3 linked regions of the Arabidopsis thaliana genome follow. The main gene of each other region encodes a partner of the protein of the gene in region 2 in a complex. Each region holds a gene or a part of one and is shown on either strand. Other genes may lie near its edges.

Evidence for each region.
Region 1: E2F1 (region 2) and MYB3R-5 share a complex: the UniProt entries of both Arabidopsis thaliana proteins name them as parts of the DREAM-like complex.
Region 3: E2F1 (region 2) and MYB3R2 share a complex: the UniProt entries of both Arabidopsis thaliana proteins name them as parts of the DREAM-like complex.

The regions. Positions count from the first base shown.
Region 1 is NC_003076.8:484,606-488,434, reverse strand, and holds the start of MYB3R-5 (myb domain protein 3r-5), read left to right. Parts: upstream 1-1,961; 5' UTR 1,962-2,087; coding exon 2,088-2,129; intron 2,130-2,499; coding exon 2,500-2,651; intron 2,652-2,770; exon of another isoform or gene 2,771-2,782; coding exon of another isoform or gene 2,783-2,796; coding exon 2,797-2,848; intron 2,849-2,999; coding exon 3,000-3,057; intron 3,058-3,355; coding exon 3,356-3,450; intron 3,451-3,547; coding exon 3,548-3,651; intron 3,652-3,738; coding exon 3,739-3,829. Other genes in the region: AT5G02330 (Cysteine/Histidine-rich C1 domain family protein), read left to right, coding at 1-1,163. UniProt on the Arabidopsis thaliana protein: Transcription factor that binds 5'-AACGG-3' motifs in gene promoters. Transcription repressor that regulates organ growth.
Region 2 is NC_003076.8:7,358,431-7,362,259, forward strand, and holds the start of E2F1 (E2F transcription factor 1), read left to right. Parts: upstream 1-2,104; 5' UTR 2,105-2,318; coding exon 2,319-2,501; intron 2,502-2,971; coding exon 2,972-3,134; intron 3,135-3,265; coding exon 3,266-3,322; intron 3,323-3,403; coding exon 3,404-3,489; intron 3,490-3,568; coding exon 3,569-3,657; intron 3,658-3,751; coding exon 3,752-3,806; intron 3,807-3,829. Other genes in the region: AT5G22210 (aspartyl/glutamyl-tRNA (Asn/Gln) amidotransferase subunit B), read left to right, coding at 1,119-1,361. UniProt on the Arabidopsis thaliana protein: Transcription activator that binds DNA cooperatively with DP proteins through the E2 recognition site, 5'-TTTC[CG]CGC-3' found in the promoter region of a number of genes whose products are involved in cell cycle regulation or in DNA replication.
Region 3 is NC_003075.7:235,640-239,239, reverse strand, and holds the start of MYB3R2 (myb domain protein 3r2), read left to right. Parts: upstream 1-1,657; 5' UTR 1,658-1,883; coding exon 1,884-1,981; intron 1,982-2,220; coding exon of another isoform or gene 2,221-2,226; coding exon 2,227-2,281; intron 2,282-2,356; coding exon 2,357-2,414; intron 2,415-2,504; coding exon 2,505-2,614; intron 2,615-2,700; coding exon 2,701-2,813; intron 2,814-2,915; coding exon 2,916-3,044; intron 3,045-3,113; coding exon 3,114-3,433; intron 3,434-3,508; coding exon of another isoform or gene 3,509-3,514; coding exon 3,515-3,600. Other genes in the region: DGD2 (digalactosyl diacylglycerol deficient 2), read left to right, coding at 126-475, 570-1,086. UniProt on the Arabidopsis thaliana protein: Transcription factor that binds 5'-AACGG-3' motifs in gene promoters. Required for proper circadian rhythm.

The sequences.
Region 1 (3,829 bases), 6.9 Mb from region 2:
GATGTATCTTTGTAGCCCATCGAGATTGTATCTATTTCCCGTATGTCATTAAAATATGTCGTCACCAACACCGTATCTCTTTTACCTCTTCTCTTCCATCTGGAAAATGGTCTTGTGGAGTATGTCGTAAAAAGGTTGACAACAATTGTGGTGCATACACTTGCAACAAGTGTAGCCACTATTTTGTTCATACAAGATGTGCGTTACGGGAAGACTTGTGGGATGGAAAGGATCTCGAGGGAGTACCTGAAGAACCTGAAATAATTCTCGAGCCATTTGAGACGATAGCTGATGGAATAATACTCCATTTTTCTCATGGCCATCATCTGAAACTCAAGACCAGTGGAGTTTACAACGAAAACATTATTTGTCAAGCGTGCATCCTTCCAATCTATGAGGGTAATTATTACTCGTGTATGGATCAATGCAACTTCATCCTCCACGAAGCATGTGCAAATGCTTCTCGCAAGAAAGATCATGCCTTACACAGTCACCCACTTACGCTAAAAGTTGTCTCTGATATACAGAATGAATACTTTAAAGGTTACTTCAGGTGTTCCGCTTGTGATCGTGAAAGTTGTGGCTTCATCTATGAGGAGGATCAATACAGCATAGACATACGGTGTGCCTCTGTTTCTGAACCATTTGATTATCAAGGCCATGAGCATCCCTTATTCCAAGCTTTAGACCGAAAAGAAGAAAGGGAGGCAATTTGTCAAATTTGCCGAAAAAAGTATGGTCGAAAACTAAATTGCATCGAATGCAATTATATTATATGTTTCAGTTGTGCTACTTTACCATACAAGGCAAAGTATAAGCTTGACAAACATTTCCTCACATTTCGGGAAGGGGAAGAGGGAAGTGATCAGTTAGACTGGTGTGAGGTATGCGAAAAGAAATTAGAATACTCAAGAGAAGGTGGGTTCTATGCGTGTGATGACTGCTGCACCACTCTCCATGTTGATTGTTTGCTTGGAAAAGAGATGTATATGTTGAATCCTGGTCATACTGTAATGGCTTATAGGTCAAACATTTATATTCTTCCCAACAATACCATGACTCGACCATTCTGCCAACTTCATAAAGAAGATCGTTGTCCACACAAAGTAATTTTCAATTGGCATGACATGACATTTTGCTCTTACAGTTGTTCGATGGATTAGATGTCATCATCGCCGGTGCTTCGTCGTCCCTTATTCGCTATATTTCACTCCCCATTTGCTTGTCTACGTTTTGTAATATGTTTCTTCTATTAAAACGTATTGTAATACTTTTGGATTCTTAACTTCTTCTAGTTCCCCATTTGCTCAATCTTCTTGTTGTCTGGTTGTTTACGTTTTTGTGTAATCTTTTCTTTTACTAAAACGAATTGTAATTTTCTATATCTTCTTCTTACCCAAAAACCTCGACTGATTAATTATATCTCGGCCTTTGGGCTTTAAATTATGGGCCAATTCGGACTGTTCTCGCTTAAGAAACTACAGTAAAAAAAAAAACCAGAATGAGTTATCTTAATGATCCGACGGTCCATAATCATTGAGGACCTCTGATTTGCCGACGTGTACAATGGTCAACGCATCAGCTAAAGAGTGCCGTTTGAGGTTGAAACTTTTATTTCCAACGTCAACCTTTCTTCTACTTTTAACGTCCGTTAAGTCCCCCTGTGGTTTCTTGTCACCATTTTCGGTTATAGTTTGATTTTAGATAACCGGTTTTATCCAACCACGAATTAAACTCGTTGTTTTCGTTTTTATCCGAAAGAATATTATAATTAATTAATTAGCCCAGTCACATTAATAAGTTTCGTAAAAAAACATTCATTTTCTCAATTCAATTAACCGGCTTCTTCCAATTCTTTTGAGTCGGTTTGGAATAAACCGGCCGGTTCCAGGTTAACGGCAGTTAGCAGTTACGTCGGCGGAAGAAGTATTCGTTACAATATTTGTTTTAATCCCAATTAGTCTCCTTCTCCTTTCTCTCTTCTCTCTCGTTCAACGGGCAAAGTTTTTTTCGAATATAAGTTTTGGTTTGTTTTTTAACGTTCCCTTCTTCTTCTTCCTCGCGAATTCGCTTATCTGGCGATCACGATGAGCTCAAGTTCGAATCCACCGGTTTGTTCACCGGAAAAGGTCAGATTTTTCCCTGAAATCTGATTAGGGCTTTTCATTTTTTGTGATCAGATTGTTATCTTCGTCTACTTTGGTGTGAGTTCATGGGGTTTTAGGTCTGAATCGGAACACGTTTTAACAGGTCTTGGAAAAGGGTCTGAATTGGTTTCTAATGATTAGAATTGTATAAACCCTAAACATCCATCTTGTGCTTGAAAGAAATCGACTTGTTTTTTTGTGAGATCTGGCTTCTATTTTGCGGCCGTTGAGTTTTTAGGGTTTTGTGATTTTTGATTATTTGTTTGATAAAGATACGTTCTTGTTCATTTTGTGCTCAATCCCATGTTTTTAACGAAAATTCTGGATTTGGTGATTTATATGGGTTTTTTAGGAGGAAAGAAGTGAAATGAAAATTGAGATTCAATGTATGGAGAATAAGCAACCATTAGCTGCTTCTTGCTCTTCTGCATCCGAAGGTAGTGGCTGTTTCTTCCTCAAGTCACCTGAAATCGCAACTCCTGCCACAGTATCTTCATTTCCTCGGTACTTTTACTATCTTTTACATTTCATCTTCTATCTGTGTGTTTATACAACTTATTATGAAATTGATTGATTGGAAAGACTGTGCTTTGATGACTTACACCGAACTCATTTTGGGTTTCTGCAATGTTTTAATGTTGATCTGCAGGAGGACTAGTGGACCTATGAGACGAGCAAAAGGTGGTTGGACTCCAGAGGAGGTTAGTGGTTGCTTTTGTTTCATAATTTTGTTGGTGTGTGGAGCAACCTCATTCGACTATGTATCTTATATGTATAAGGATTAGTGTTTACTTGAATGAAAGACGAGACTAGCCTTATTGTGGTCTGTAATTGGTTTTTATCACTATTCAGGATGAGACACTTAGACGAGCAGTTGAAAAGTATAAGGGGAAGAGGTGGAAGAAAATAGGTAAATTTCTTTTCTTGAATGTAAAAGTAGTATTGCAATACATTAGAATGAGATTATAGGTCTTCTAATCACACTCTTGTCTTGATGTATACTTGAATGTATAATTTATACATTTTTAAAACTGAACTCGTATCTTAAATCTGCTGAGAATTTTGTGAATTTTTCTCATTCAGTAAACATGATCTCTGCTGTGCACTTTGCAAGAGAACCATGATTTCTTTTTTGTCTCTTAAATGTTAAAGTAGCTGGTTTCGGTCAATGTTCTGTTTGTTTGATTTTTTTGTATTTCATCTTACAGCGGAATTTTTCCCAGAGAGAACAGAAGTCCAATGCTTGCACAGGTGGCAGAAAGTTCTTAATCCAGAGCTTGTTAAAGGACCTTGGACTCAAGAGGTTCTCTTATCATTTTCATGTTCTGAAACTTTTTTTGGTTTTCATTTTACGTAAAAATTTGGTAGCTCTAAAATTCTCTTTCTTTCGTGAATTGTAGGAGGATGATAAAATCGTTGAACTTGTAAAAAAATATGGACCTGCCAAATGGTCTGTCATCGCCAAGTCCTTACCAGGTCGTATTGGGAAACAATGTCGAGAAAGGTAACAAAGATTAGAATATTGACTATCTGAAGAATAGAGCCTGTACCTCCGTTGAGTTTGGAAGCCTCAACGAGTTTACGATTACAGGTGGCACAACCATTTAAATCCTGGTATTAGAAAGGATGCTTGGACCGTAGAAGAAGAATCAGCTCTCATGAATTCTCATCGAATGTACGGA
Region 2 (3,829 bases):
ACTGATCAACTTGATAACGTGAGAGATGAAAACAAACAAAAACAACACTTTTTTTTTTCTTTTCCTAACTTTAGAACTTTTGTGATTTCATAAAATTTTGGTTTTACAAATTCATAAAGCAAAAAAAGGAAAAAAAGATGATTACTATAGCGAATATTCGTCAACAAACTTAGTCACTTTGCAACTAAACCCACACTTGTAGTCTCTGTAGAGTGTAGTTCACCTTTTTGAGCATTCGTCGCTATGTTTCCACATTTAAACCATAACAGTTGGCCCAAAGAAAAAGTGAAAGCTAATGGGCTTTTTATGTTACTAGGCTTAACCCAGAAAATGACATACAGCTAGCGATACGACATTGGTTTAGCTCTGCAAAACGCTCTATAGTGTCTGTCTGGTCAGAAATTCTTCGACTCACTTTCGGTTTCTGATGTTTTGTCTCTCTGATTGAAAAAGGTAAAATCTCTTGAATCTATATCATATCGCTAAGCTTAATTTGCTGGCTAGGATTTTACCTGATTTTTTGGGTATATAGTGATGATAGAAATTTGAAGTAATTTCTCCAGTTTTCTCATTGATTTAGGGGTTTTAAATGTAGACTTAGTATTCATGAATGAGTTGATTTCTAATTGATATTATCATGTTAATCATCTTGAAGAATTGACCTTGAATTGGTGGTTCATAGATGTCTCATCTTGTACAATTTATTTGCTCGAGGATCTTATGATTCTTGGACATAGTGGAACAAAGATAGCTTTAAAAATGGACGCTGAGATGATTACTTGGTTGATGTATAATAGTTTGGTCTCTTAATTAAGGTTTTGATGGTCCTTAAGGTTAGTGTATAGCTTCTATAGAACTTTTTAGTCTCTCCTTTTAGATGGTTATGACGAATTGACGATTGTGTTATTCACGAGATAATTTGCATCCGAACATGTAAATGTTACACACTTGCAATATTGGTGTGCATGGAGAAATTATAGATTGTGTTAAGTGTTAATCCCAAAATGCATCTGCTAAAAGTGTTGCATAATCATCTTGTTGACTAGATAACTTGTTTTTGTGGTTTGGACAATGTGACGATACTATATATGATGTATGTAAAGATCGGGTTTTGCAAGATGGGAAACAAAGCTACAACGGTGAAAGAAGAACGCGAAGAGATCCATTTGAAGATTGTACCTCCATTGGACAAAGTTTTTCTGCGTTGGCTCGCAAGAGATCTCCAGAGAGTTCATGGATTCAAACCGAAGAACAACACTCGTGCGATCACTCCTCCAGATAGCTACATCGAGTTTATGCGGTTAAATGGATCGCTTGATGTAGATTTAGATGACCCTGATCTTGCCCATTTGTTCAAGTAAAAAGGGGTTCTTCTATTGTTGTCTCTGTTTGTTATGTATGAAGCTTTCAAAGTCTTAGTATCTTTTTTGATTACTCATACAGTCATACTTAAAGCTTGTGTTTTGGAAGCTCAGTCTATAAATATATATTATCTTCTCTAAACAGTATAGCATTCATAAGAGATCCAAGTGTCTGCATTCAGACGACACATGTTTCTATTGTCTTGGTGCTATGATTTGGAATCCCTATGTTTCGAGGTTCCATTTAAAAAAGTTGTTAAATGATGAGACACTCATGAGCATAATTTTCATCAATATAGTTTTGCCTCACCTATGAATTAAAAACAAAAAAACGTATAAGTTCGACAGATTTTGACGATAATTGCTCACACTTAACGCGTGTAACGGATGCTGCAACAGTTTGATGAAATTATTATGCTCCACTTCTTAACATGAATAAATCCAAAATTCATTTTTTTCCCCTCAATCTCAAGGAAATAAAACTGTATCCAAATTAGTTACATAGCTTTATTAACTTCGTTGACTTTAAAAAAAAAAAAACTTACTTAAAATTTTATAATTTTGTATTATATATAAAAATAGGATTATTATTATTTAGTAGAGAGATATTGGTAAAAAGATTTGTGTACAAAGAGAGAGATAAAGAGCGCTAATTCCCTCCACATCAGTATTCAGAACCAAACGCAACTCATTCCCTCGTTTTCTCTCTTCCTCTTCCACCGTCTCTTTTTTTTTTTTTTTTTATAATCCTTCCTCTTCTTCATCTTCTTCTCCTCTCCCGCTTTTTTTCGATTCGCCGATCTCTTCACATTCTCTTCCCGGAATCTCCGTAATTCCCGCCGTAGATCTGCTTCTTAATCGTTATTGGGATCTCTGCTTACCGGAGATCCGAGTTTCCGTGACAATTTTCGCCGTTTCTTTTTTTTTTTGGGGGATTTTTTATCGAGATTCGTTCTTATGTCTGAAGAAGTACCTCAACAATTCCCATCTTCTAAGCGGCAGCTTCATCCTTCTCTTTCTTCTATGAAGCCTCCTCTAGTTGCTCCTGGTGAGTATCACCGGTTTGATGCGGCGGAGACTCGCGGTGGTGGAGCTGTTGCTGATCAGGTTGTCTCTGACGCGATTGTGATCAAATCTACTGTAAGTCTTTTTTCTTCTCAATTTTGCTTGTGAATTTTGCTTTATAATTCTCGTGTTTTCGATTGTGTGTGAGGTTTGGTTTTATTGATTATGATTTTGATGATGTCGTTGCTTTAGATTTTGATGAGAATTGTGTCGGGATCTGCTTCTGTTGGTGTTAATTGCGTTTGGTCTCTTTTGATTAACCTTGTTTGTAGTATTGGAATTAGCATTGCAAGTACTTATTGAGTAGTTTAGTTGCTGGACTTAGGGTTTGTGGTGTTACTGTTATTGCTATTTAGAGCAGATTCATGCACTTTTGTGTTTATGTTTAGTTAAATTAGTTTCTGAATTTTGCTATGTTGGAATTGGTAAAAGTTGTGTCTATGCTTTTAGATTTCAGCATAGTGACAGTATGATGCTGATAGGATTTGATTCTGTTCAATTCGTTGATGTATTTAACTGTTCAATTTTGGTGACTTTATTGGCAGCTGAAGCGTAAGACAGATTTGGTAAACCAAATAGTTGAGGTCAATGAATTGAATACCGGTGTTCTTCAAACACCTGTATCAGGGAAAGGGGGGAAAGCCAAGAAAACTTCTAGGTCTGCGAAGTCTAATAAGTCTGGAACGCTAGCTTCTGGCTCTAATGCAGGTGAGTTTGGTTCTAAATGCTCTGTGTTAGTATGCCAATGAGAAATATTTCTTATGTGCTCATCTGAGCTAAATCTTCTTTAAAGAGTGGAGATATTGCAATGTAGTGAGAAGGATCTTTTGTGTTGGCAGGTTCTCCTGGAAATAACTTTGCACAGGCCGGTACTTGTCGATATGATAGTTCGTTAGGTAATAACTTATTTCATTAACTAATGTTTAAAAAATGTACTTTTGGATAATAAGTTTTTTTAATGATTTAATCTGCTTCAGGTCTTTTGACAAAGAAATTTATCAATTTGATAAAACAAGCAGAGGATGGTATTCTTGATCTAAACAAAGCAGCTGATACTTTAGAGGTGACATATTTGAACTCTAGACTCCCATATTGATGTATTACTTTCTGTCAAACTTAGCTGTATGTTCCTGTTGATGCAGGTACAAAAGAGAAGGATATATGATATAACCAATGTGTTAGAAGGAATAGGTTTGATAGAGAAGACGCTTAAGAACAGGATTCAGTGGAAGTAAGCATGTCTTAGAACTGTCAAATCTTGGATTCCTTCCATTTGATGACTCATGTGTGAGCGACAGTACTCTGAATTTTCTTGTCTGTCTTAGGGGTCTCGATGTCTCAAAACCAGGAGAAACAATCGAAAGCATAGCTAACCTACAGGTACAGAACATGCCTATATATTC
Region 3 (3,600 bases), on a different chromosome or scaffold from region 2:
ATGTGAATATATCCAATGGCTGGGTTTAATTTGAGAATCAAGACAGTTTGTTGGAATGTGACCACAATTATGGCCGGTCCTTTTGATGTGAATCAGGACTTGTACCAATGATGTTACTCCTGCAGGTAATCAGGTTATCTGCTGCGACTCAAGAATACCCTAAATCTATAGTCTGCAATGTTCATGGCGTCAACCCTAAATTTCTCGAAATTGGGTTGAGAAAACTAGAACAGCAGAAGCTCCAGGAGCAGCCCTTCACTAAAGGCGCATACTACATTGGTAAGATGGTCTGGAGCAAAGGGTACAAGGAGCTTCTTAAACTACTTGAGAAACACCAAAAGGAACTTGCCGAGTTAGAGGTTGATTTATACGGTGATGGAGAGGACTCTGAAGAGATCAAAGAAGCAGCCCGAAAACTCGACTTGACGGTTAATGTTTACCCAGGACGTGATCACGCTGACTCGCTATTTCACAAGTAAGTCTCTAGTTCTTAACAGCCTCAAGATTGATTGATTTCCTTGCAGTCTATCGGATTCTATACCTTAAACTTTTCCATCTTCTATTTTCAGCTATAAAGTGTTTCTCAACCCCAGCACGACAGACGTTGTGTGTACAACAACTGCAGAAGCCTTGGCGATGGGAAAAATAGTAGTATGCGCGAATCACATATCGAACAAGTTCTTCAAACAGTTTCCCAACTGCAGAACCTATGACGATGGACAAGGTTTTGTAAGAGCCACGCTCAAGGCTCTTGGGGAACAACCATCGCAACTTACAGAGCAACAAAGGCATGAACTATCATGGGAAGCTGCTACACAACGGTTTATAAAAGTCTCTGATCTGAACCGGTTATCAAGAGCTGATTCGAACTTGTCAAAGAGAAGTGTGTTTGCGTCATCTTCGATTAGTGTGGGGAAAAACTTGGAGGATATGTCAGCGTATATTCATTTCTTGGCGTCTGGATTTGAAGCTTCCAGAACAGCTTTTGGTGCTATACCTGGAAGCTTGCAGCCCGATGAAGAGTTATGTAGAGATCTTGGTTTGTCTCTCAACACTCCTTCCCCAAATACTCGCAAGCAAGATTGACCTGTTTTTTAATTTATCTTTGTCTGCATATCATTGGGATATTTTTGTGTATAAATCAATGTATACTATCTGAATCATTCTATAGCAGCTTTGGTGTAATATTGATGATGAAAGTTAGATTTTTCATCTTGTGGAACATGTATGATGACACGAGTCTGAATTATAAAATTTAGTATATGATTCCATTAAAAGAATCAGAAGCTGTACATATCATTTCGAATTCGCATTTGTCCACTTATGTGGCCAATTGCTCATATTAGAGCCATATCTAATTGCTAATAAGAAAACCATTTAACATATGAACTATGAGTAACTCGTGTCCTGTGCATTAATGGTTTACTTTTCATGGATTTTATTTATGCATACCATTCACTTTTCTTCTAATAAAGATCTTGTGAATCTTTTCTATTTTGCTAATATTTTTGTTTTTATTATCAAAAAGATAATATAGAATCTTAATCCCACAAAAAAAACATTTACCAAGAAAAAAAGTAATTAAATATTAATATTTTAGAGAGAAAAATGGACTAGAGAATCTCTTTATGCATAAAAAAAGATTTTTTGGATAGCCGTTACTGAACGACAAATCCTTTTCAGTCTCTCCTCTTTCTCTCGACAGAGCGATTTCAAGTCTTTCTCTCATAGATTAGAACTTTTTGCGATTGAAAAAACTCTTGTCCGTTCAATTTATAGTTTAAGATAGTTATGTAGTTTAGGATCTCGTTGTTTTCTTCTATATTCTCGTTAGTTGAGGCTGTTATTTAGGGTTTTAGGTTTTGTCAATTTCTGAAAGACTTATGACAGAGTCTATTGATTTAAATCGATCAGAGTCCGAGTCTGATAACAACACCGACGACGTTACTCCTATTTTTGCAATTGATGACTCTTCAAAAGGGTATGTTTCTCTTCGTCCATCTCTTGTTCGTTCCTCAATTATATTTTGTGGTTTGGTTTATATTTGTTGCAACTTGATGAATTTGGGGGTGGGTGTTATATATATATGTGATTAAGGTTTTTATGTGTGATGATTAAGATTAGTGGGAAATTTATAATATCAGTTTTAAGTATATATGTTTATATGTCATTAGGGTTTGATCTTATGATTGCTTTGTGATGTTTGATTTGTGGTTAAAGATACAGAAGAGTGAGTGGTCCTACTAGAAGATCAACTAAAGGAGGATGGACAGCCGAAGAGGTACTTATATCTCTTGTTATGTCTTGTCCAAGTTATATAAATGTGTCACTGAAACCTTTTTTCCATCTTATGCAGGACCAAATTTTGACGAATGTTGTGAAGAAGTACCAAGGGAGGAACTGGAAAAGGATTGGTAAATAATATTTTGATGTGTTAGCCATCAATATTTGCCCTAAAACCAATATACACTATATGAGTTTTTTTTCTCTTGTCTTTGGTTTAGCTGAATGCCTTCCTGGGTCGGAAGAGAATAGGAGGAATGATGTCCAATGTCAGCACCGTTGGCTTAAGGTTCTTGATCCAAGCCTCCAAAAAGGAGCTTGGAAAAAAGAGGTAACTACTTTTGCATTCCTTTCTTAATATATGCTATGTTACGTTGTTTCATTACCTAGTGATCATATATGTCTCTTGATATTCAGGAAGATGAACTCTTAAGTGAGTTGGTTAAAGATTATATGGAGAATGATAGGCCTCCATGGTCAAAAATTTCAAAGGAACTCCCTGGTCGCATCGGCAAGCAATGCCGCGAAAGGTTTCTTACATTTTTCTTTCTTTTCACATTTGGTTTGTGAACTTGATGACAAGTCCACATTTTCCCCATAATGTTGATTATGGGTTTTTTGTTATGTCTTAGGTGGCATAATCATTTGAATCCGACTATTATAAAATCTCCATGGACTAGAGAAGAGGAATTAATTCTCGTTCAAGCACAAAGAGGAAACGGCAACAAATGGGCAGAGATTGCCAAGCTATTGCCTGGAAGGTTTGTCCTTAAAACTAAGAAAACATTGTTGTGGATTTAACTAACCTTCTTGTTCGTGAAAACTAACAGGACGGAGAATAATATTAAGAACCATTGGAATTGTTCAGTTAAGAAAAGGCTAGAGCAGTTTCCTAGTAACCTCTTCTCTGGTGTGGTCTATGGTTCTAAACCTAGTTCTGGTTTTGAATACAACTTTTTCAATCAAAGAAACACGATGGTCGAGAGTTGCATAACATCACAAATCAAGGAAGCTGCAAAGAGTCCTCAAAGGGATTTCTTGGATTTAACTTTAGGACTGAATTGGAGGAGCATTTCTTCATCCACAAGCTCTCTTAGAGGAGAAGAATCAGTCTCATCATCAGTAGACTCAGTTTGTGCAAGACTCAATGGTAAGGCTGAAATATTATCTCATTGGATACGTTCTACAATTGATCATCACATGTTAACAAGTCTTTATGTAAAAGTTTCAGCGTGTTTAGAAACTCCACAGAACAGCAACAACGATACTGTGTGCGTAAAGGAAGTGAGGGAGATGAAAGAGAGACTTAGAATGGCT